Linked DNA regions of Stegostoma tigrinum. The protein of the gene in region 1 purifies or fractionates together with the protein of each later gene. This does not show direct contact. Links are inferred from orthologs where the notes say so. Each region holds a gene or a part of one and is shown in the gene's direction. Other genes may lie near its edges.

The links. Proteins that work in one complex are often made in the same cells at the same time.
Region 2: the proteins of pop1 (region 1) and ribonuclease P protein subunit p25-like protein purify together in Homo sapiens (affinity purification with mass spectrometry; 3 studies listed by BioGRID and IntAct, counting the BioPlex papers as one, with this or other methods). This does not show direct contact. The link is inferred for Stegostoma tigrinum from reciprocal best matches to the Homo sapiens genes POP1 and RPP25.

The regions. Positions count from the first base shown.
Region 1 is NC_081358.1:122,562,436-122,573,555, reverse strand, and holds the start of pop1 (ribonucleases P/MRP protein subunit POP1), read left to right. Parts: upstream 1-6,876; 5' UTR 6,877-7,010; coding exon 7,011-7,038; intron 7,039-10,565; coding exon 10,566-10,712; intron 10,713-11,120. Other genes in the region: rida (2-iminobutanoate/2-iminopropanoate deaminase), read right to left, coding at 1,555-1,660, 6,487-6,554. UniProt on the Homo sapiens protein: Component of ribonuclease P, a ribonucleoprotein complex that generates mature tRNA molecules by cleaving their 5'-ends. Also a component of the MRP ribonuclease complex, which cleaves pre-rRNA sequences.
Region 2 is NC_081389.1:16,611,216-16,622,021, reverse strand, and holds the start of ribonuclease P protein subunit p25-like protein, read left to right. Parts: upstream 1-5,754; 5' UTR 5,755-6,777; coding exon 6,778-7,437; 3' UTR 7,438-9,081; exon of another isoform or gene 9,082-9,171; 3' UTR 9,172-10,806. UniProt on the Homo sapiens protein: Component of ribonuclease P, a ribonucleoprotein complex that generates mature tRNA molecules by cleaving their 5'-ends. Also a component of the MRP ribonuclease complex, which cleaves pre-rRNA sequences.

The DNA.
Region 1 (11,120 bases):
GCAACTCTGGACCAGCAATGTGATTGACTCTGAACTGGCCTCTGGAATGGGCCAGCAAGCTATTCAGTTTAGAGACAAATTAGGATTCAACAGATACTAGCCTTTTCAGAGTCACCCACATCTTAAAAAGGACAAGAGAAAGTGTACCTATGTTTCATGAAAATAATTCTCAGATGTTAATTTTAGCTGTGCAAGTCCAGTGAAAACTGATTCACTTTTGCATCCACAAGTGCAGTAAGATGCAACTGATTTTCAGCTGAAGAACGACAGCAAGAGAAGAGTGGCAAACATTATGAGGAGGTCACTTGGTCAACACTGAATTTTTTTTTTAAAAAAAAAACCAACTTGCTGTAGGGAAGGTCAGGTAACTGAGCAAAAACGCACAAACGCCTCTGACGATCACTGCTCTAGTGTTCAAGTCTAGATGGGCAAATATCAGTACATGACTGATCCAAACAGCAGCAGTGTAAACTGGAACCATTCATTGTGAAATCCTCAGAAACCACGAGTCAGGGGGAGAACATGGTCAAAAAATTATTTTATACAATTAAAACCAAAGAATGGAAAATATGGGAAGTGGGATGTTTACAAAATTAAAGCTCTGAGATGATTCAACAATGAATGACTTGATGGGCCTTCTGTGGCGTGGGGATTCTATGATTCAATAAAAAGCAGTCAGAGCTATTATACATTTATATATGAATGTTGTGTTGTGCATAATTTGGGCTTTGGGAAGGAAGAGAAGGCTTTGAGCCGAGTAGAGAAGAAATTTGTAAGAATGGTATGAGTGATCACTTATGCAGAAAGACAGGAGAAACTAGGGTTGGTTAGAGGAGATTTGATAGAGGTATTTAAGGTGAAGGGTCTAGTGCCAGTAAATAAAGAGAAATGGTTTATGATGACTGAAGCAGCAATAACCAGGGGGCACAGATTTCTGGTGATTGCAAAGACCAGAGGTGACATGAGGTAAAATGTTTGAGTAACAAGTGGTTACGGTCTGCCGTGCATTATTGGTGCATACAGATTTAATCATGGCTTTCAAAATGGCAATGGATAAATATGTGGAGAAAAAAATTGCAGAAAAATAGCTGGAAAAAATGGAACTAACTGATTTGTTCGTTGAAGGAGCAAGCAAAAACTTGCTAGACCTCATTTAGGGCGGCACGGTGGCTCAGTGGTTAGCACTGCAGCCTCACAGCACCAGGCACCCGGGTTTAAAAATTAGCCTCAGGTAACTGTCTGTGTGGAGTTTCCACATTCTCCCTGTGTCTGTGTGGGTTTCCTCCAGGTGCTCCGCTTTCCTGCCACAGTCCAAAGATGGGCAGGCTAGGTGGCTTGGCCATGCTAAATTGCCCATAGTGTTCAGGGGTGTGTGGGTTATAGGGGGATGGGTCTGGGTGGGATGCTGTAAAGGGCAGTGTGGATTTGTTTGGCCAAAAAAGGGCCTGTTTCCACACTGTTGGGAATCCAATCTAATATCATACACCACCATAGGTGCTGTAGTATTCCGAGAGTGTGCCAGGGATTTTGTTGTTAATGAAGTTTAGATATTACTTGCTTTGCTTCCTGTGCTGTTCCTCCAGTTACAAGCTGGCCAGTTGCAGGATCCAACCCCAGCTGACCAGAAATGTACATGGTGCGATCCACAACCACTGCTTGGCTGCAAAACAAAAAAGTGGATGTGTTCATAAAGCACACCATAGAATAATACGAGAAGGCCTCTGCTTCCCAAGGGCAACTAATGGCAATCATGTAACTATCATTGATTGCTTTCCACAGAAATCTAGTTCAAATATTCTTTAGAGAAGGATACCTCCTGTCACAGCAAGGTGGTTGCTCTTAACTGCCCTCTGAAATGGCCTAGCAAGCCAGTCAATTCAAGTGCCAACTAGGGTGGGTAATAAAAACTAGCCCAGCTAACACCTACACCTGATGAATGCATTAAAGATAAAATGATTTGAACAAGTGTAAGTGTTTGCAAAATCAGGGATTAATACTGTGACCATGCTGCCATGATTGCATCAGACACACCAGATCAGTTCAATGGCCCCTTTTCCACAGGGTTTGCTGAGATGATCTTTTCACTTGGCAAGACTTGCTATTTTTCCAATCTCTCTTCCTGTACTTTTCAGTTCGTTGCAGGATGCACAGAACGACTGGTTCACAAATTATACCCATTCTCCGACTTATAAATTAAAAACATTTTCCCATTTCAGTCCAAAATCTAAAATACAGAAAATTTACCACGAACCTTGGATGACGAGAGCGGTGGAGCTTCTAGTGAAAAGGAAGAAGGTAGCTTACATAAGGTGGACGAAGGTAGGGTCAAGTTCAGCTAGAGAGGATTACATGCAGGCAAGGAAGGAGCTCAAAAATGGTCTGAGGAGAGCCAGGAGGGGGCACGAGAAAGGCTTGGCAGAACGGATTAGAGAGAACACAAAGGCATTTTACACTTACGTGAGGAATAAGAGAATGGTCAAAGAAAGAGTAGGGCCGATCAGGGATAGCATAGGGAACTTGTGTGTGGAGCCTGAGGAGGTAGGGGAAGCCCTAAATGAGTTTTTTGCTTCTGTCTTTACGAAAGAAACGAACTTTGTAGTGAATGAAACCTTTGAAGAGCAGGTGTGCATGCTGGAATGGATAGAGATAGACGAAGCTGATGTGCTGAAAATTTTGTCAAACATTAAGATTGACAAGTCGCCAGGCCCGGATCAGATTTGTCCTCGGCTGCTTTGGGAAGCGAGAAATGCAATTGCTTCGCCACTTGCGAAGATCTTTGCATCCTCGCTCTCCACTGGAGTCGTACCTGAGGACTGGAGAGAGGCAAATGTAATTCCTCTCTTCAAGAAAGGAAATAGGGAAATCCCCGGCAATTATAGACCGGTAAGTCTCACGTCTGTCGTCTGCAAGGTGTTAGAAAGGATTCTGAGGGATAAGATTTATGACCATCTGGAAGAGCATGGCTTGATCAAATACAGTCAACACGGCTTTGTGAGGGGTAGGTCATGCCTTACAAACCTTAGAGTTTTTTGAGGATGTGACTAGAAAGGTTGATGAGGGTCGAGCTGTGGATGTGGTGTATATGGACTTCAGTAAGGCATTTGATAAGGTTCCCCATGGTAGGCTCATTCAGAAGGTCAGGAGGAATGGGATACAGGGGAACTTAGCTGCTTGGATACAGAATTGGCTGGCCAACAGAAGACAGCGAGTGGTAGTAGAAGGAAAATATTCTGCCTGGAAGTCAGTGGTGAGTGGAGTTCCACAGGGCTCTGTCCTTGGGCCTCTACTGTTTGTAATTTTTATTAATGACTTGGACGAGGGAATTGAAGGATGGGTCAGCAAGTTTGCAGACGACACAAAGGTCGGAGGTGTCGTTGACAGTGTAGAGGGCTGTTGTAGGCTGCAGTGGGACATTGACAGGATGCAGAGATGGGCTGAGAGGTGGCAGATGGAGTTCAACCTGGATAAATGCGAAGTGATGCATTTTGGAAGGTCGAATTTGAAAGCTGAGTACAGGATTAAGGATAGGATTCTTGGCAGCGTGGAGGAACAGAGGGATCTTGGTGTGCAGATACATAGATCCCTTAAAATGGCCACCCAAGTGGACAGGGTTGTTCAGAAAGCATATGGTGTTTTGGCTTTCATTAACAGGGGGATTGAGTTTAAGAGTCGTGAGATCTTGTTGCAGCTCTATAAAACTTTGGTTAGACCGCACTTGGAATACTGCGTCCAGTTCTGGGCGCCCTATTATAGGAAAGATGTGGATGCTTTGGAGAGGGTTCAGAGGAGGTTTACCAGGATGCTGCCTGGACTGGAGGGCTTATCTTATGAAGAGAGGTTGACTGAGCTCAGTCTCTTTTCATTGGAGAAAAGGAGGAGGAGAGGGGACCTAATTGAGGTATACAAGATAATGAGAGGCATAGATAGAGTTGATAGCCAGAGACTATTTCCCAGGGCAGAAATGGCTAGCACGAGGGGTCATAGTTTTAAGCTGGTTGGTGGAAAGTATAGAGGGGATGTCAGAGGCAGGTTCTTTACGCAGAGAGTTGAGAGAGCATGGAATGCGTTGCCAGCAGCAGTTGTGGAAGCAAGGTCATTGGGGTCATTTAAGAGACTGCTGGACATGTATATGGTCACAGAAATTTGAGGGTGCATACATGAGGATCAATGGTCGGCACAACATTGTGGGCTGAAGGGCCTGTTCTGTGCTGTACTGTTCTATGTTCTATGTTCTATACAAACTGATCAGTTCTCCATCCCTAACAAACACCTACACCCAAAGGATTGCAGTGGCTTAGACAGGAATACCACACAAGGGCAATCAGGAATGGAAGAGAAAAGAAATGCTGACCGAGCTGGCAATGCCCACATCCTGTGACAGGTAATAAAAGATATGGCAGTGGAGTAGGATGATCCAGCCGGAGCTCGTCTGTTCCACCCGTTCTTCCCTCACCTACTCTTAGCGTTTCTTTTACTTTTTCTCTGCCGGCCCTCGACAAATCCCAGCCTCCAGTGACTCCCGAATTCCGACAACCTGTGGCCTGGTGTAGATACCTCCCGGCACGGTGCGGCAACTTCATCAGTCTATTGTAGTGAACACCTAGGGCGGCCTCCAAGAATGGCGTGCCCCCAGCCCAGCGCGGCAGTCTCCCAGCTTCGTTATCCTAGAGGCTAAACCCAGAGCGAGGCAGAACCAGGGCTCGGTGCAGAGTGGAAACTAGGTGCATGTGGTTTGTTGTTCTTAACTTTTTTCTGCAATGCTGGACATTTTACTTCTCTATTGCTTAAAATCTTGTACCTAAAGAAGCTGTACCCAGGTACATTTATACCAACACTGTCGCCACTTCGAGTGCCAACATGTGAACTTTTCATTGAGTATGTGACAATAAAGTTAATTCAGTTCAATTCAAAAAACAGCATGCGCAGAACCCGCAGTACTGTAGAAATTAAACAGCAGACCACTCCAACATTACACTAAAGAAAACGGTAATCGCCAGATAAAGGTCGAGTTACCATTGTCCCATCTGAGCACAGGGCTGTTCACTCATTAAAGAGGAGTGATTAGTTCACTATAAACCCAATAACTTAATCTTATGGCTTCCTATGGTACCTGTAAACTCCAAGTCTAATCGGAGCTTTGGGAGTATAGACATAAACCAGTTTTGTAGCCATCGTCGATTTTTTCCTCGCTTCAGGCTTTCAGTATCAGATTAATATTACAGCAAGAAAGTGACCTTTGGAACGTACTATTGTCAAAACAATACTGCTGCCAAGAATCATGGCACACATTTTCTTGTACTGCCTATGACCATTTTAATCGAAATCAAACTTCATTTTCACATGTTAGAAGTGATTTTCATTTTCTCTGCTGAATTTATTTAGCTTTTTTTTTAAAAAAAAGCCTTGTCCTGCTGAATGCCATTTCCCCCTCTCAGTCACTTCCTGTGACTGATTTTACTTTGCGTTATTCCTATTCACATTCTGCTTCAGGCTGCATGGTCTCACTAATGGTTCTTCGATTTGACTGGCTAATAAACTAGGTAATCAAAATTTGGAACACACAACTCCTCTCTGAGTATTAAAAAGTTACACAGTACTGTGCTAAGATTACAAAATTCAGGCACAAATTGGCTGATCTACAGTTGGATGATAATAAATGCAAAAATCTCAGTGCTATTCAAGAGTTTGCTATGCATTAATTAGCAGCTGTGAATCTGGTCTTACAATGGTGGCATCAAATATGTCCCATTGCTTGATAGGGTCTGGAGCACATTTCTGTTCATTGCAAGTTGAATAGAAAAGTAAAAACATTTCAACCTAGAGACCCTTTTAGAATATATGGTAGTTTCCCCCTTCTGTCACAGTGTTTAAACAGTTATATGATCAGAGGGGAGGTGTAATAACACTTCAAAAGGACTTTGCCTTGTGCAGCAATAATGGGAACTGCAGATGCTGGAGAATTCCAAGATAATAAAATGTGAGGCTGGTGAGCACCTCAGGTGCTCCTGAGATGCTGCTTGGCCTACTGTGTTCATCCACCCTCACATTTTATTATCTTGCCTTGTGCAGCAGCCGCTTAAAACTACTTGTCCTAAAGTTAGACTGTGCAGTTACCTCGCTCCTTTCTTCAGCTCCCAAAAAAGGTGTTGTATCACCAATTAAGTACTTCCAAAAGGTGTCATAATGCAAGAGCTTTGGTTTTAAAAAGAAACTACCGTTGAAAGACAGCAGTACCATGTGTTTACCGAAACACAAAACTGTTATAGCGCAGGAGGCCATTCGGTCCGTCAAGGCCGTACGGGCTCTTCAAAACGAGCATCATTACCAGGTCCCAATCTCCTGCCTTCCACCCCCCATATCTTGCACACCATTGCTATGCAAATAATCATTCAGCGCCCTCTTGAATGCCTTACACAAGCTGTCAATCTCCAACACCGCTTCAAAATTAAAGGGGATAATCTTACTCCATCGTTCTTGGGAGATTACCTGTAGGGACCAATTGCCCCCGGTGCCTTGCTAGTGCTGATCACCCTCCTCACTAACGCTGCCATCATGTCTGAGCAACGTTCCAGCAAGCACTGCGCATGCGGCAGCCAGCCCGCGCTGCAGCACGGGCTTTGTAGTCCCGGACTGGACACATCTCCCAGAATGCCATTGGATGCGCAGCCGCCGCAGAAGAGGTTCACGTGCGGGACCGTTGGTCGGAGTTCGGGATGCGGGAGTGACCGGCTGCTGTGGACACGACCCAAAAAAATTTCGTCTGAAGACAGCCTAGATCCTCGGTATGTTATTGTAATCCGAAGATATTCTCTTCGCAAAATAAGATCACGTTAACGGTGTAGCGGCAAGATGGTCATAATACAGTTTGCTTGTCACTCCTGACGCATTGCGCGTACTGATGCCTTCACGCATGTTCGGTGTGGGCGCACCTGTCATGCGCATCCGGCTGCCCCTTAATCACGTGTCACCTTAGAAGACTGAATGTTGCAAGATGCCGCAAACCTAAGCTGATGCCTGACTGTGGTTTCCCTTTTAGAGGTGAGGAAGGCCAATATAAGTCCAAGTATTTGGGGTAGGATTAGGTGCATAATTGGGACTAAAATATGAGAAACAACGAGGCTAAACAAAAATAGAGTAAATTAATTTTAGAGATAATGGGAACTGCAGATGCTGGAGATTCCAAGATAATAAAATGTGAGGCTGGATGAACACAGCAGGCCAAGCAGCATCTCAGGAGCACAAAAGCTGACGTTTCGGGCCTAGACCCTTCATCAGAGAGGGGGATGGGGGGAGGGAACTGGAATAAATAGGGAGAGAGGGGGAGGCGGACCGAAGATGGAGAGCATCTTTGCTCTCCATCTTCGGTCCGCCTCCCCCTCTCTCCCTATTTATTCCAGTTCCCTCCCCCCATCCCCCTCTCTGATGAAGGGTCTAGGCCCGAAACGTCAGCTTTTGTGCTCCTGAGATGCTGCTTGGCCTGCTGTGTTCATCCAGCCTCACATTTTATTAAATTAATTTTAGGAATGGCAGACTGGCCGAAAGAGGAGAGCTTGATTTGCCTGGATGTAGAGTTTAAAAGAATGAGAAGGGATCTAATTGAAATGTATAAAAATCCAAAAGAGCTGGATCGTCTAGGTCTTGAGAGGATGTTTTCCCCTGCTTTGGGATATAGAACCAGTCATCACTGTCTCATGATGCAGGGCAGGCCCTTTAAGTCTGAAATGAAAAAAAAATCTCTTGACTCGAAGGGTAGTGAACCTGTGGGACTTGCTACCTCAGAAGGCACATTGAATATGTTCAGAAAACATGTTAACTTTTTTTTAGATTTCAAAGGCATCAAGGCTAATGAGGAGAAAGTAGGGATATCTTTTTGAGGTAGAGGAAGTGTGTTCGTGTTCAATGGCAGAGCAGGAAAGAAGGGCCAACTAGCCAACGTCTGCTGTTGGTTTCTAGGTTTCTGTGTCCAAAAATGGTAGCAAATTTTCTGTTATCCAGTTAATTGTAAAGATGAGGCATTGTTTTGAGGCTGTATTTGTCACCTCTGGATGTGAATGAACCTTGAATTCTCTTTGCTATCCTGCCAATATTTTTTATCCCTTAGTAAACACCCTTAGAACAATCAGTTTATTGCTTGGAGAGTTGGGTTTTTTCATGTGTAAGTTAGCTACTGTGTTTTCCATCATAAAAAATGAATATACTTCAAAAAAATATTTTTCCTATTCAAAGCACTTTGTGACATTCTGATGTCATGAAAGTTGATATGTAAATGTAAGTTTTTGAATGCCTGCAGTTTTATACGTTGTGCCATCTTATGGTTGTCAGGGGATAAAATAGTGAATACTGATAAAGTAATGAAAAAAGTCCAATTTCAGATCTGTTTAAGTATTTATCTATGTACATACTGGAGGGTTTTCTTCAAATCCACCATATTTGTGACAACAATAAATCAAACTCAAACTTAGTATTTTGTCCAACAATGTTTTTCTGACTTAAACGAATCGAAAATTAAATAGCTTTTTTGTGAGGCTGCTGAAGTGATGCAATGCAGTAAAAGAGATCGTGGGTACGGTTGCAGGTGAAAAGAGAAGGGTTTATCAGACTCATTTTAATTGGGTCAAAACATTTCTTTATTCTTGGTTATCATTAGCAAATGGAATTTAGCCAAACAAATTTTCCTCCCTTATTTTGATTCCTTTTAGTTCACATATTGGAGAATTATATATTGCATTATATTGATAACTCTCAACCGTTCAAATCATGTCAATTTTCTTGCAAGATATTTAGCAGCAACTAGGGCAAAAAGAGTGCTCAGAATATAGGCATTGCTGTGCTGTTGAACTTCAGTAATTCCGCTCCCTTTCATACAGGGAATGGGGCCAGAAATCACATGTCGCCAGGTTATTAACTTATAACTATTTGTGCAATCATTATTTATTTTAAAGAACAGGTTTTGAAGCTATAGAGTGAGTAGATTTAATGTACTAATAGACTTTTATTTGGATTGTAAAACAATCTAAAGTCCACTGAACTCCTGCACAAAATCTAGTCCCCAGTCTGAACCTGGTTATCTTGGTCCTCAAATGTTTGTTAGTTCTGGAATGTGTGTTCTCTCAGCTTGAGAAAAACATTGTGTGATAGAGTTTTAGTTTTACTTTTGACTTTGGGGTAGCATTAGTCCTGTGAAGTCTTTAGAGTAGGATGGCAGTACACCAGAGAAGGGAATGGTAGATATAATAATAAAAATTACCTTCAAGCCAAGAATTGGTTTCAGTCCCAGAACAGAAATTACCTAAGGTGTTACTTACAACTGAATAAGGTGAAAGTCAGGTATGTGGTAGCTCCAAGAAGAAGCTATTGCAGTTTCTGTTTAAAAGTTGAAGTCGCAATTGGCATAAACTTACCAAAGTATAGATCCAGGGACTCTAGTGTGAGTTTTATATGAGTGATGTTTTGGAAACTGTACCAGGGATTTGTTATGGATACTATGTGAAAGCTGTTTTGTTTATATTCAATTTATAAAGGGGCAATTTAGGTTTAATAGAATTATGCTTTGAGTGTGAATTTAAAATCTTTAAATTTATATTTTTTAGTTAGATAGTTTGGATTATTCAATTTTGTCCTTGTTCCTGTTGTAATAAACTTCCATTTTGTTGAAGCAAAATCTGTATTATTTTATGCTTATGCAACATTGGGAGGTCACTTTGCCAATACCAATACAATTCTATGAAGCAAGGTTCTTGTCTGGGATCTGACTTGTTCAGTCTAACATCATCTGGGAGCACAGCAGCCAATAACATTAAAAACTGTAAATGTGAAACCCACAGAATACATCATAATGATTGGTGGCCTGTATGGAAAGTGATAGCTAATGTCTCATAATATTGAAGTACAGGTTTTGAGCAGCTTAGTGGCCTCATCCAGTTCCTATGAATAAAGCAAGAGCAGAGAGCCAATTTGTTATTTTGTGTGGTTTGATCTTACTAAATTATTTTACTAAAAATTCTTAAAATGTGTTTAACTTCAGCATGATGTCCATTAGTTTGTCTTAAGGATATTGAGTTGCAATCATAATGTGGTAAGGAATTGAACAACTTTAAAGATATACAAACTTATCAATACTGGATAGTTTCAAATATTTTTGTTTGCATGGTGAATCATAGTACAATGGTCAACCTCGTATCTCTAATGTGACAAGAATGTTTATTTTCTATATACCAAACAGTAAGTTCTAATATATGTTTAGATCAATTTTGTTGTTCTTGGACTGGCCTTTATTTGCCGTCTGCATTGCTCTGGAAAGGTAGTGATGATGGGCTGTCACATTACAGCCCATTAATTAATAAATGAATCGCTAGGCTACTTCTACAAATTATTTTAAGAATTGAACTCTTTGGAATAAAATTTGAATCATACAGCCCCCAACACCAAGCCATCCCCCAACTTCCTTAAAAGGGGCAGTAGATTTTCTTCCCTGATGACTGTTTGTCCGCAGGTAAAGCGATCTTTCAGATATTTTAGTACATATTTTGTTATGATAGTGTGTTAATTATATTGTCTTTGCAAAGCCATGTCTGGAGTCAATCGGAAGGAAAAGAAGTATGCCAAGTTGATGAGAAACCAGCCAAGCAATATCACCTTTTCCTCATCCAACCAAGGGGCTGGCAGATCTGGAATGGGACCATCTGAATCACCGAGTTTTACAAGTTTTCAAGGTACAAAGTGTTTGCATAGTCTGTTCTTTTTTAATCAGTGTTTACTTGCTTTATAGTGAAAATAAAAAGACCAAACAATTCATGTTGATAAAGTATGTGGTATCTGTAGATCCTTGTTACTTTACTTCATCATCTGTTGTATTCTCATCTAGCCACATGTCCTGATTTGAGCGTATACTTTTAAGCCTGCAATGCAGTCTTCCCCTTCTCCCCTCGTTTAGCAATGCTATTAGGGCCGTTAGCCATTCTCACCCTGAACATCTGAATGGGAACATGGGAGTAGGTCATTCAGCCCATCGAACCTGGTCCGCTATTCAGTTGGATCATAGTGATCATCTACATTGTGCAGAAGAGGTTTATGATCTTTTCCAGTGATGAGGTCCTTCACTTGAGGAAAACACTAGGTGA
Region 2 (10,806 bases), on another chromosome or scaffold:
AAATCCTTGTCAATTGCTATGAAAACCCAGCAAGTTTAGGGAAGAAATCTGCTGTCCTGATCTGGGCTGATCTGCATGACTCCATACGCAAAGCAATGATTGTCTCTTAAATGTCCTCTGAAATGTTCTAGCAACTGTCTCCATTGTATCAAGTGGGTAGGAGATCCAAAATTAATAAAAGCGATGGACCACCTGGTATTGGCCTCGGCACCAGAAATTACAATAGAAAACCTAACCCTGTTCATCCTGTAATGTCCCCAGTGCCAAAACTGGGAAAGCTGTCCCACAGACAAATCAAGCAACAGTCTGGCATCACCCTCAGCGAATCATACCTTACAATGTCCCAGGCAGTGCCATCACTACCCCTCAGTATGATCTGTTCCACCTTCAGCACAGACCAATCAGAGAGTTTGGTACACCACCATTCATCCAATGAATCAGCTCTCCCCCATATTGAGCACTATCTGGAGGAGGTACTATTGGTGGCAGGGTCACAGAACATGTTCTGGGTAAAGAACTTCAATGTTCAGTACCAAGAGTGGCTTGACAGGAACAATACATACAGAGATGGCTGTGTCCTACAGGACAATGATGCTATACCAGACATGTGGCAGGTAGTGAGGGAACCGACAAAAATCTACTCAATCTCAGTCTCACCAATCTATCCGTTACATGGGCATTTGTCCATGTCAGAATTTGTAGGACTGATGACCACAAAGTCTTTGGGGAGATGAAGTCACATCTTCACAATGAGGGCACCCCACATTGTATTGTCTGGCACTACTATCATGTTAAATGGGATAGATTTTAAATAGATCGAGAAACTCAAAACTGGGCTTCCATAAGGCACTGTAGACCATCAGCGGCAGCAGGATTATATTCAAGCTCACCTTGTGTGTCCTCAGTAACCTACTTATGCCTCACTCTACCATTGCCGTCAAGCCAGAAGATCAACCATGGTTCAATGAAGAGTTCGGGGGGCATATCGGGGAGAAAACCTTCAGTATATCTAAACGTACAGTATTGAAGTGACTCCACAGAGGCTGGAATGGCATCACCAAGATGCCCTTTATTTACACATGAAGAGCCCTTGACACTGATCCAGCTTCCTCAGAGCCAACTCTCAGGGTGAGCAAGATGTCTGACATTCCTGTTTATATCTGTCAGCCAGGTTGGACCAGATCTTTTCTTCTCCTTATTCATTCATGGGATGAGGGTGTTGCTGGCTAGGCAGCATTTATTGCCCATCCCTAATTGCTTAGAGGGCAGTTCAGAGTCAACCACATTGCTGTGGGTCTGGAGTCACATGTAGGCCAGATCAGGTAAGGATGGCAGTTTCCTTCCCTAAAGAATACTTTAGGGAAGGAAAGATGTGTTTTTCCCGACAATCGACAATGGATTCATGGTCATCATTAGATTCTTAATTCCAAATGTCTATTGAATTTAAATTCCACCATCTGCCATGGAAGGATTTGAGCTTGCATCCCCAGAATATTATCTGGGTCTCTGGATTAACAGTCGAGCAATAATGCCACTAGGCCATTGCCCCCCTGAAATTAACAGCCCCAGTCAGAGAACTCATGCTCTATGAAGGTCAACCTGGCTGACGTTGTTACAATCACTACAGTATCAGCCTGGTGAAGATACAAGTCAGGGCTACATGTAGAAGGAAGCAAGTGACAGACAGAACTGTGCACATCCATAAACAACTGATTAGATCTTAGATCTGCAGTCCCGTCATTTCAGTTGTGAGCAGTGGTGGTCAATTAACAGAAGGAGAAGACATCATAAATATTCCCATCATCAATGATAGGAGAGCCCAACACAACAATGCAGAAAATAAGGCTGAAGCGTTTGCAAACATCTTCAGTCAGCAGTGCCAAGAGAGTAATGCATCTCGAGCTCTTCCAGAGGTCCTGAGCATCACAGATACTACTCCATGTGATATCAAGAAGCAGCTGAAGGCATTGCATATTGCAAGGGCTCAATGAAGAGTGCAGGAGGGCGTAAGAGGAGCAGCACTAAGCAGAGGTGCTAAAATGAGGTATCACAGAAATAGAAATTACTGCAGAAACTCCGATAGGTCTGGCAGCATCTGAGAGAAAAAAGCATTTCAAGTCTTTATCAGGAAATGAAATATCAATCTGGTGATGCTACAGGACTATTGGTGTACCAAACAGTATAGGCAGCAAGTGACAAACAGAGTGAAGTGATTCAGTAACTAATAAATCAGATTTAAGATCTGCTGTCATGCCACACCCAGCTACAAATGGAGATGGGCAATTAAACAACGCACTAGAGCAGGAGGCTACACAATTATCCCCATTCTCCATAATATGGGACCCTGGAACATCAGTGCAAAAGATAAGCTACAACACTTGCAACAAGCTAGAAGTGCCAAGCCATCCCATCCACCTCCAGTGGTCCCAGCATCAACCAAATTTCCTTCACATGATATCGAGAAATGGCTGAAGTCTATGGCTACTGGAAAGGCTATAGATCCTGACAATATTCCAACATACATTCCAAATGTGTTCCAGACCTTGCCAATCTCCTAGCCAAGAGAAACAGTAAGAACTGCTGATGCTGGAGTCTGAGAGAACACAGTGTGGAGCTGGATGAACACAGCAGGCCAGGCAGCATCAGAGGAGCAGGAATGCTCATGTTTGTGGTCTGGACTCTCCTTCAGAAATGGGGGAGGGGTAGGGGACCCTGAAATAAATAGAGAGTGGAGTGGATAGGGTGGGAGAGGAGGTGGACACGTCAAGGAGTCAGGGACGAGATGGGCTGGGCTTGGGATGAGGTCGGGGGTGGGAAGTTTTTGAAGCTTGTAAAATCCACCTTACAAGTTTCAAAATCTCCTCACCCCCAACCTCATCCCAAGACCAGCCCATCTCGTTCCCGACTCATTGACGTGTCCATCTTCTCTCCCACCTACCTGCCCCTCCCACCTCACCGACCAACCCCCGTCCCAACTTCCTACCTAGACTCACCTTTACTGTCTTCACCCCCACCTCCTTGACCTGTCCGTCTTCTCTCCAACTATCTGCTCCTCTATCCACCTTCTATCATCGACCCCCCGCCGTCTTTATTTATTTCAGAACCCCCTTCCCCTCCCCATTTCTGAAGAAGGGCCCAGACCTGAAATATCAGCTTCCCTGCTCCTCTGATGCTACTTGGCCTGCTGTGTTCATCCAGCTCCACACCTTGTTATCTCAGACTCCAGCATCGGCAGTTCCTACTATCTCTGAGCATCTTTTCAGGTGATGTTTTTCTGGGAATGTTTTATGTCTGGGGACATCTTGAGAAAACAAAAAAGAAATAACTTGCAGTTACATAGCACCTTTCACAGTCTCAGAATGAACAAAGTCCTTTACAGTCAATTAAATGTTATTAGAATTGTAGTAATCGTTATGTAGGGAAGTATCGGGCAGTCTACTTGCACACAGCATGCACCCATGTGAAGCAATTAAATAATCACCAACTAATCCACACCTCTGGTGTTTGTTGGCCCGGTCACAGGACAGTACTCTCTGGCTGTTCAAAACGAGCCACAAGATGTTTACAACTGAGCTGAGAGCGCAGAAAAAGCCTTGGTTTCATATCTGATCTGAAAGGTGACACCTTTGGTAATGCAGAACTCCTGCAGCTGGAGTTATGATTCTGGCTCAGAGTCGAGAGTACAACCGAATATGGGAAGGTTGCCCAGTGCATTGAGAGCGTGGGGGTATTTATGAGGAGTTTCCTGTAAAATCGTTGACATTTTCAGGATTTCTCAGAGGTCAATTGATATTTGCACGCTGAATCCCAAATTGAAAAGCTTATAATATGCCAATACAGAAAATGAAAGAAATCCTCATTCATCGACAATGGAGACTTCAAAAGAGGTAGTGCACCATCTCCGTTCCTCAAGCTTTCAAAACCAGCAAATGTGATTTGATTTTCATTGTTTTTTTCCTGCTTGCAAGATGCTTGAAGTAAAAGTTTGGCACAGACTCATTTCAGCATTGTTGCCCAAATGGTAGATGAACCCTAAATTTATTTTCTTTTTATTTATTCATGCAATGTCGGTGTTGCTGGTGACATTAACATTTGGTGCTCATTGCTAATTGCCCTCAAAAGGTACTGGTGCATTATTTTCTGCAGGAGCTCTTGTGGTATAGTGGGTATTAGTACTGCTCTTTGAGATGAATGGTCTCAGTTCAAGTTCCACCCCAGGGCCTGGGGGCCATAGTCAATGGGTATCTAATGATCAAACAGGTCAGGTATGAGCCTGTAAATGCTTCTATGGATAGATGGAAACAATAGGGGAGTCCATTCTTTGGTGAGAGCTGTGTAACAGCCCTCCTAGCTTGTTCTCTGAGGCAAGTGTCCTCTATATTTCAGCTGCCACTTCCTCGATCTACTACTGTCCATATTGATTAGGCTTTTGACCCAGTAATAGTGAAGGAAAGCCCATATAGTTCAGAACTGAGAAAGGGTCACTCAACCTGAAACGTTAACTCTGACTTCTCTCCACAGACGCTGCCAGACCTGCTGAGCCTTTCCAGCAACTTCTGTTTTTGTTTCTGATTTACTGCAGTTCTTTCAGGTTTTATTGTGGCCGTATTTCAATATTGGCCATGTTGTGCATTTAACATTCTGCTTAATGGGTTGCCTTTTGTACCTCCATTCCATTTACTTGTCATTGCTGTTTTTGTTTTAGTTCTTTGTGGATCTAGCTGGTCCAGCATTATTGCCTATCCCTAACTGCCTTCCAGAAGACGGTGGTGTGTTGCTTTCACACCACTATGCTGTTAGGAAGATTTTGACTCAGTAATAGTGAAGGAGCAGTGATATATTTCTAAGTCAGGATGAAGGAGGATGATCTACTATGTATATCACATGATATCCATTCAGTATGTTGAAAACACACATAATATAGTGTCCATGAATAATATCCACAGGTTAAAGTAATTGGAAGAAGGACGGAGAGGAGTTGATGAGTACACAGTCTTAGAGTCATACAGCACCGGAAAGGGACCCTTTGGTCCAACATGTCCATGCTGACCAGTTTTCCCAAAATAAACTAGTCCCATCGGCCCATAATCCCTCAATACCTTGCCTATTCATGTACCTGTCCAATCTTTATTTAAATGTTATTATTGTACCCGCCTCTATCACTTCCTCGGGCAGTTCATGCCATATATGCACGACCCTCTATGTGAAAAAGTCACCCCTTGGGTCCCTTTTAAATCTTTCCCCTGTCACCTTAAACCTATGCCCCTCTAGTTTTGAACTCCCCAATCCTGGAGGAAAAACCTTGGCTATTCACCCCATCCTGATTTTATAAACCCCTCAGCATCCTACATTCCAGTACGTTTTTCACCCAGAGAGCGGTAGGGAACTCTCTTGTCTGAAAGGGTGATAGCGGCAGAAACCCTAATTTGAAAAAAAAAGGAATTCTGCTGGGAGGGATTTATTTTTTACTCAGCTAGCACACAGTCAAGGGGCAGAACAGCCTTCTCCTGTCGGGTAGATACTTGTCAGTCACTGCTTGGGACCGCAAAGTGCTGCAGATAGAATGAGGCAAACGCCGCAGAGAGGAGCTTGGTGCAGAAGGGGTTAAATAAATGACATTCATTCGCCGTGAATCAGGATCTCGTCACAGGGACAGTGAGGGAGAGAGATTGCACCCTGTTCAGTACAGATGCTGCAAACAGTTTTGCCTTGGCATCAGGAGAGAAACGGTCCCCCCCCCCCCCCCCGCCCCATTCTTAACCGCGCCTTGCAATTGAAAGTGGTTAAAACACAAGACGCGTTGGAAATGGGGAGGCATTGCCCCATCCTGGATTACTCTCAGGCCGGCTGTCGAGGGAGGAGATTTCGCTGAGGAACGAGCAGCCGAGGGTCGCGGGGAGAACGGGAAGTAAGTGATGGCCGCAGCTTGATGGATGGAGCTGACGCAAAGTACAAAACACAAACATTAGGGAGCTTGCATGACTGTTTGAATCCGTTGCTGCCCCCCTATCCTGGAGCATGATGGAGTGAAACTAATCTCGCCCAAATTGTTCGTTGCTTTAAAAAAAACGTTGGCCAGTTTTTTTGCAAACCAACGGCAAAAAGAAGCTGCCAGTTTTTGTTTAGAAAGCGACCTTTGCACCGTTTTGCAAAGGAACAGAAAAAGACAGTCCATCTTTGCGAAGGAATGAATTAACAACTTTGCCCAGTTTTGCAAAACAACGACAAAAAAAAGTCTTGTCAGTTTTCTGCACAGGAAGGAAAAGAGAAGGACTTTGTTCAGTTTTGCTAACGGAGGAAAATAAAACAAACGAGTCCAGTTTTGCAAAACACCGACAAAACAAGTTGTCAGCTTTTGCACAGGAAGGAAAATAGTAGGATTTTGGCCAGTTTTGCAAAGGGACAATCTTGCAGTTTTGCAAAACATCAACGACTGAAAAAGTCTTTCAGTTTTTGCAAATGAGGAAAGCAAAGAAAAACCTTGCCTAGTTTTGCAAAACAGCGACGAAAAAAAACTGTCAGCCTTTGCACAGGAGGAAAATAAAATGACTTTGCCCAGTTTTGCAAAAGGAAAACGACGAAAATAATTTTCTTGCAAAGGAAGAGCAGAGAAAAGATTTTGCGTATTTTTTGCAAACGAAGAGGACAAAATTAAAGGACTTGGATGGTTTTCCTGACTCCAAACCAGAAAACCAAGTCAGACACTTTGGGAATTTGGTGTGAGTGGTAATGGCAGGGGGTTGGTGCATGGTCTAAGAGTACATTTGCAAAAGAGAGATGCAGGGCTCCGCTGCAAGTGGCGAGATGGCAAACTATCGGAAGATCGGGCGGACGGAGGAGGAGAGCCCCCTGCCTTTCGCTGACCTGCCGGCGGACACGGTGGAGATGCGGGTGAAGGAGGGCAGCAAGATCCGCAACCTGATGGGCTTCGCGCTGGCCCGCATGGAGCTGGAGGGGACGCGGAGGATAGTATTCAGCGGTTCGGGCCGGGCGGTCACCAAGACTATCACCTGCGCCGAGATAATGAAGCGGAGGCTGGGAGGTTTGCACCAGATCACCAAGCTCCGTCCGAGGAGCCTGCGGGAGACCTGGCAGAGCAGCACCGCCGGCAGTGCGGGTGCCCTCACCCTGCTCAAGACCGTTCCGTCCGTCTGCATCCTGCTATCCAAGGAGCCCTTGGACCCGGCCGAAGCCGGCTACCAGCCTCCGGACTGCGGACCGCCGCTGTGGCCGGAGCCGGCCGCTGGTGTCCGAACGGGGCAAGAGGAGCGAGGTCTCACCCCGGTCAACCGGGGCATCAAGCGCCGCTCCCGGGGGAGCGACAGTAGCGGCGGCTGCTGCGGGGGCGAGACGGTCCCGAAGCTCAGCAAAGGGGAAGAGGCCAGTGAGGGCGCTTCTTTCCCCGGCTACACTTACCTCCCGAACCCCCAGCAGTAACACACAGACCGCTGGCACAAGTGATAGTGCCCCTTGCCCCTACACCGGGAGTGTGTGATATAACGTCTCTGATCAGGTTCATATTTTAAAAAGTCACTTCACCATGAGGGGTCCTGTTGTGGTGCAGCGGTAGTGTTCCTGGTCCTAGACCAGTGAACACCACCCACCCCCAGCCCCATCCTTGTTGGAGTTCCACCAGCTCCAGAGGGTGTGTCAGACCATCTCTGAACAGGTCGGAAAAAGATCACCTCATCATGAGCGGACCTGTTGTGGTACAGCGGTAATGTTCCTGCTCATAGACCAGTGCCCTCCCCTCCCCCATCCTTATTGGAGTCCCACCAGCTCTAGAGGGTATGTCAGACCATCTCTGAACAGATTGAAAAAAAGATCACTTTGCCATGAGGGGTCCTGTTGTGGTGCAGCTGTAGTGTTCCTCTCCTAGACCACAATCTCCCCCTCATCCTTGCTCATGTTTGACAACCTCTTGAGGATGTGTCAGAGCATCTGTAACAGTTTAAAAAATCACTTTGCTATGATGGGCCCCCTAGTGGTGCAGCGGTAGTGTCCCTGCCCCTGGACCAGACCCCCCCCCCATCCTTGTTGACGTTCTACCAACTCCAGAGGATGTGTCAGACCATCTCTGCAAAGGTTAAAAAAATCACTTTGCCACAAGGGGCCCTCTTATGGTGCAATGGTAGTGCCCCTACTCCTGGACCAGGAGGGTGTTATATCATTTCTGAACAGGTTAAAAAATCATTTTGCCCTGCGGGCTCTTGTATTGGTGCAGTAATAATGTCCATTACATCTCTGAACGGGTTAAAAATATCACTTTCTCCTGAGGGCCTTCTTCTGGTACAATACTGGCCCAACCCTTGCACTGGGTAGCACTGCTTCGAGTCCCACCTGCTCCAGAGATGAGTCGTACCATCTCTGAACAGGTTAAATAAAATCACTTTGTGGTGAGGTCTAGCCCCAAGACGTCAGCTTTCCTGCTCCTGTGATGCTGCTTGACCTGCTGTGTTCATCCAGCTCTACACCTTGTTCTCTCACTTTGTTATGAGGGCCCTCTTTTGCTACAGTGGTAGTGTACCTATTGCTGGACTAGGTTATGTGTCATAACATCTCTGAACATGGTAAAAAAAAATCACTTTCTAACAAGGGCCCTGTTGCGATACAGTGGTACTATGCCTCCCTCCAGACTGGTTGGCCCGGATTCAACTCCAGCTTGCTGCAGAGGTGCGTGATACCATCCACCTCTGAACAGGTTGAAATAGAAAAGAAAATATGGCAGGGGCTCTGTGTGGCACAGTGATAATGTCGCTACTGCTGGGCCAGGAGGCCCAGTCAAATCCCATCTGTTCTGGAGTTGTGCTGTAACAGGAAGTTGTTTTGAATTTTCTATCATATATACTAGACTATATACCCAATCTATACAATTATAGGGCACTTTGTAAACATTAAAATGCACAGAGAAAATTAATACTGTGTGTAGGTGTGTCATGATACAGTGGAGATGCATTGTTAAGTTCCTGAATGTTAGAAGGCCTTTAGAACAATAAGCAAAAAGAAGACATAAAGGAAGGGAAACTTTATTGCAACTTCAAAACCAGCATGAAAGCAAAGTTCCCAAAGATCGCAGACTGGGTGAGATATATTGCAAAAAACGCATTTCGTCCAGTTCTGATGAGGCGTCACTCGACCCAAAACATTAACCCTGTCTCTCTCTCTCCACAGATGCTGCCAGACTTGCTGAGTTTTTCCGGCACTTTCTGTTTCCAGAGTCTGCAAGTCTTGGGATTTTCCTTTTCAGTTTAATTTTCCCCGTTAAACAGAAAGGTGGGTGTTTTAATTTTTATGTTTGTCTCTGTCCTTCTTATGTCTTCAGATGTGACTCGGATAACAGGCAAACTCAGCTCTTGTTGATTAGGAATTTACTTTGGAATGGAACTGGGCTGTATTCTCCCTGGGACTTCCTCAAATCTTGCCATGTTTCCAGTGGATAAAAAGGATGAAACAAAGTATTGGATTGCATTTAATTTCCACCAAGAGCCTTTCCTCAGTGTTTGCGAGTTTTATCCATCCACCTCACTGCCTTTTTCAATTTTCCATGCTTCTAAATGTACAAATTCAACTCATAAGTTCCTTATTTTTAACGAGAGACTCCTTCCTGAATTGCTTTTAGTTAATTTTATCCCTTTTCAGGAACTTTCCTGTTTTGTGTGTTCCCTGTCTCTCAGCAGGTAGAGGCTGCTGTTTCAGATGAACTCATAGTCTGTAGAGATTTATTTGCTCCACTATAACACAGAAAGATCGTGTGATCAAATAAGAATATGATAGAGCAAAGGTTTATTGAAAGCTCATGACTTCTATACATTGTTGTCAATGTTGACAGTGTCTTTTAGACATTTCTGAGCTTAAATGGAAATATAGTTTATGGGCACAGTTCTACTAGTGACCATTCAAGCATTGGCACCAAGGGTTGTAACAGAAGGATTTTCCTGATTTAGTTTTTAGAATTGTAATTATCTTTAAGTCTTTCTCTGAACTAAGGAGCACCTTATCCCCCTGTTGATTAAACAATTTCTTCAAGTAGAAATGAAGAATATTGGCTGATTGCACAATTTGAATTTCACTGAATTCTGCTTGTTTTATCAGGCGTTCATTCCTTCTGCGCTCTAATAGAGAGGGCGACCCTCCCTGGAGAGGGTCAGGAGGTGAATACAGCATGCATTCAAGCACATTGACAAGGTTATAGAGAAGAAACTGAGGCCTGGACTTAAATTGGACAGTGCATACAAAGGGTTTGCAGGAGTACGATGGGCCGATTGTCCCCCTTTCTGTGCAGTTTTATTCTAGGTTGCATTCAGCAAGCTTGAGTGTGTATATGTCAGTACACTGTACAAAGTCAGATGCCTGTGAGCCTTATCATGCAGTAATGATATCTACAGTGGATACAGAGTTAAATCGTGTGCCCATGTGCGATATCCGACAGTTCTGTAAATTTGCTCTCAAATCACAAACCTATCACATTTTCCATCTCTCTTAGTTCCAAAGTAAGGACTTGAAATATTTTGTTTCTTTCTCCACAGGCACTGCTACACCTGCTGAGTTTCTCCAGCATTATCAGCTTTTATTTTAGATCTTCAGCATTTGCAGTGCTTTGATTTAACAAGTGTGTTTGATAATGACGACTGTGATCTCTGCAGAACAAATCTCCCAAAACACATCGAATGAACCATGTCGTGTTTGTCTGCTGCCAGTGACATGGAAACAAGATGCTATGAATTCTTTTGCCCCAGGGATGCTATTTCTCAAGCTGTGCAGATAAATTTGCCCTTAGTCACTTGTGACACAGCCAATTTTGAAACT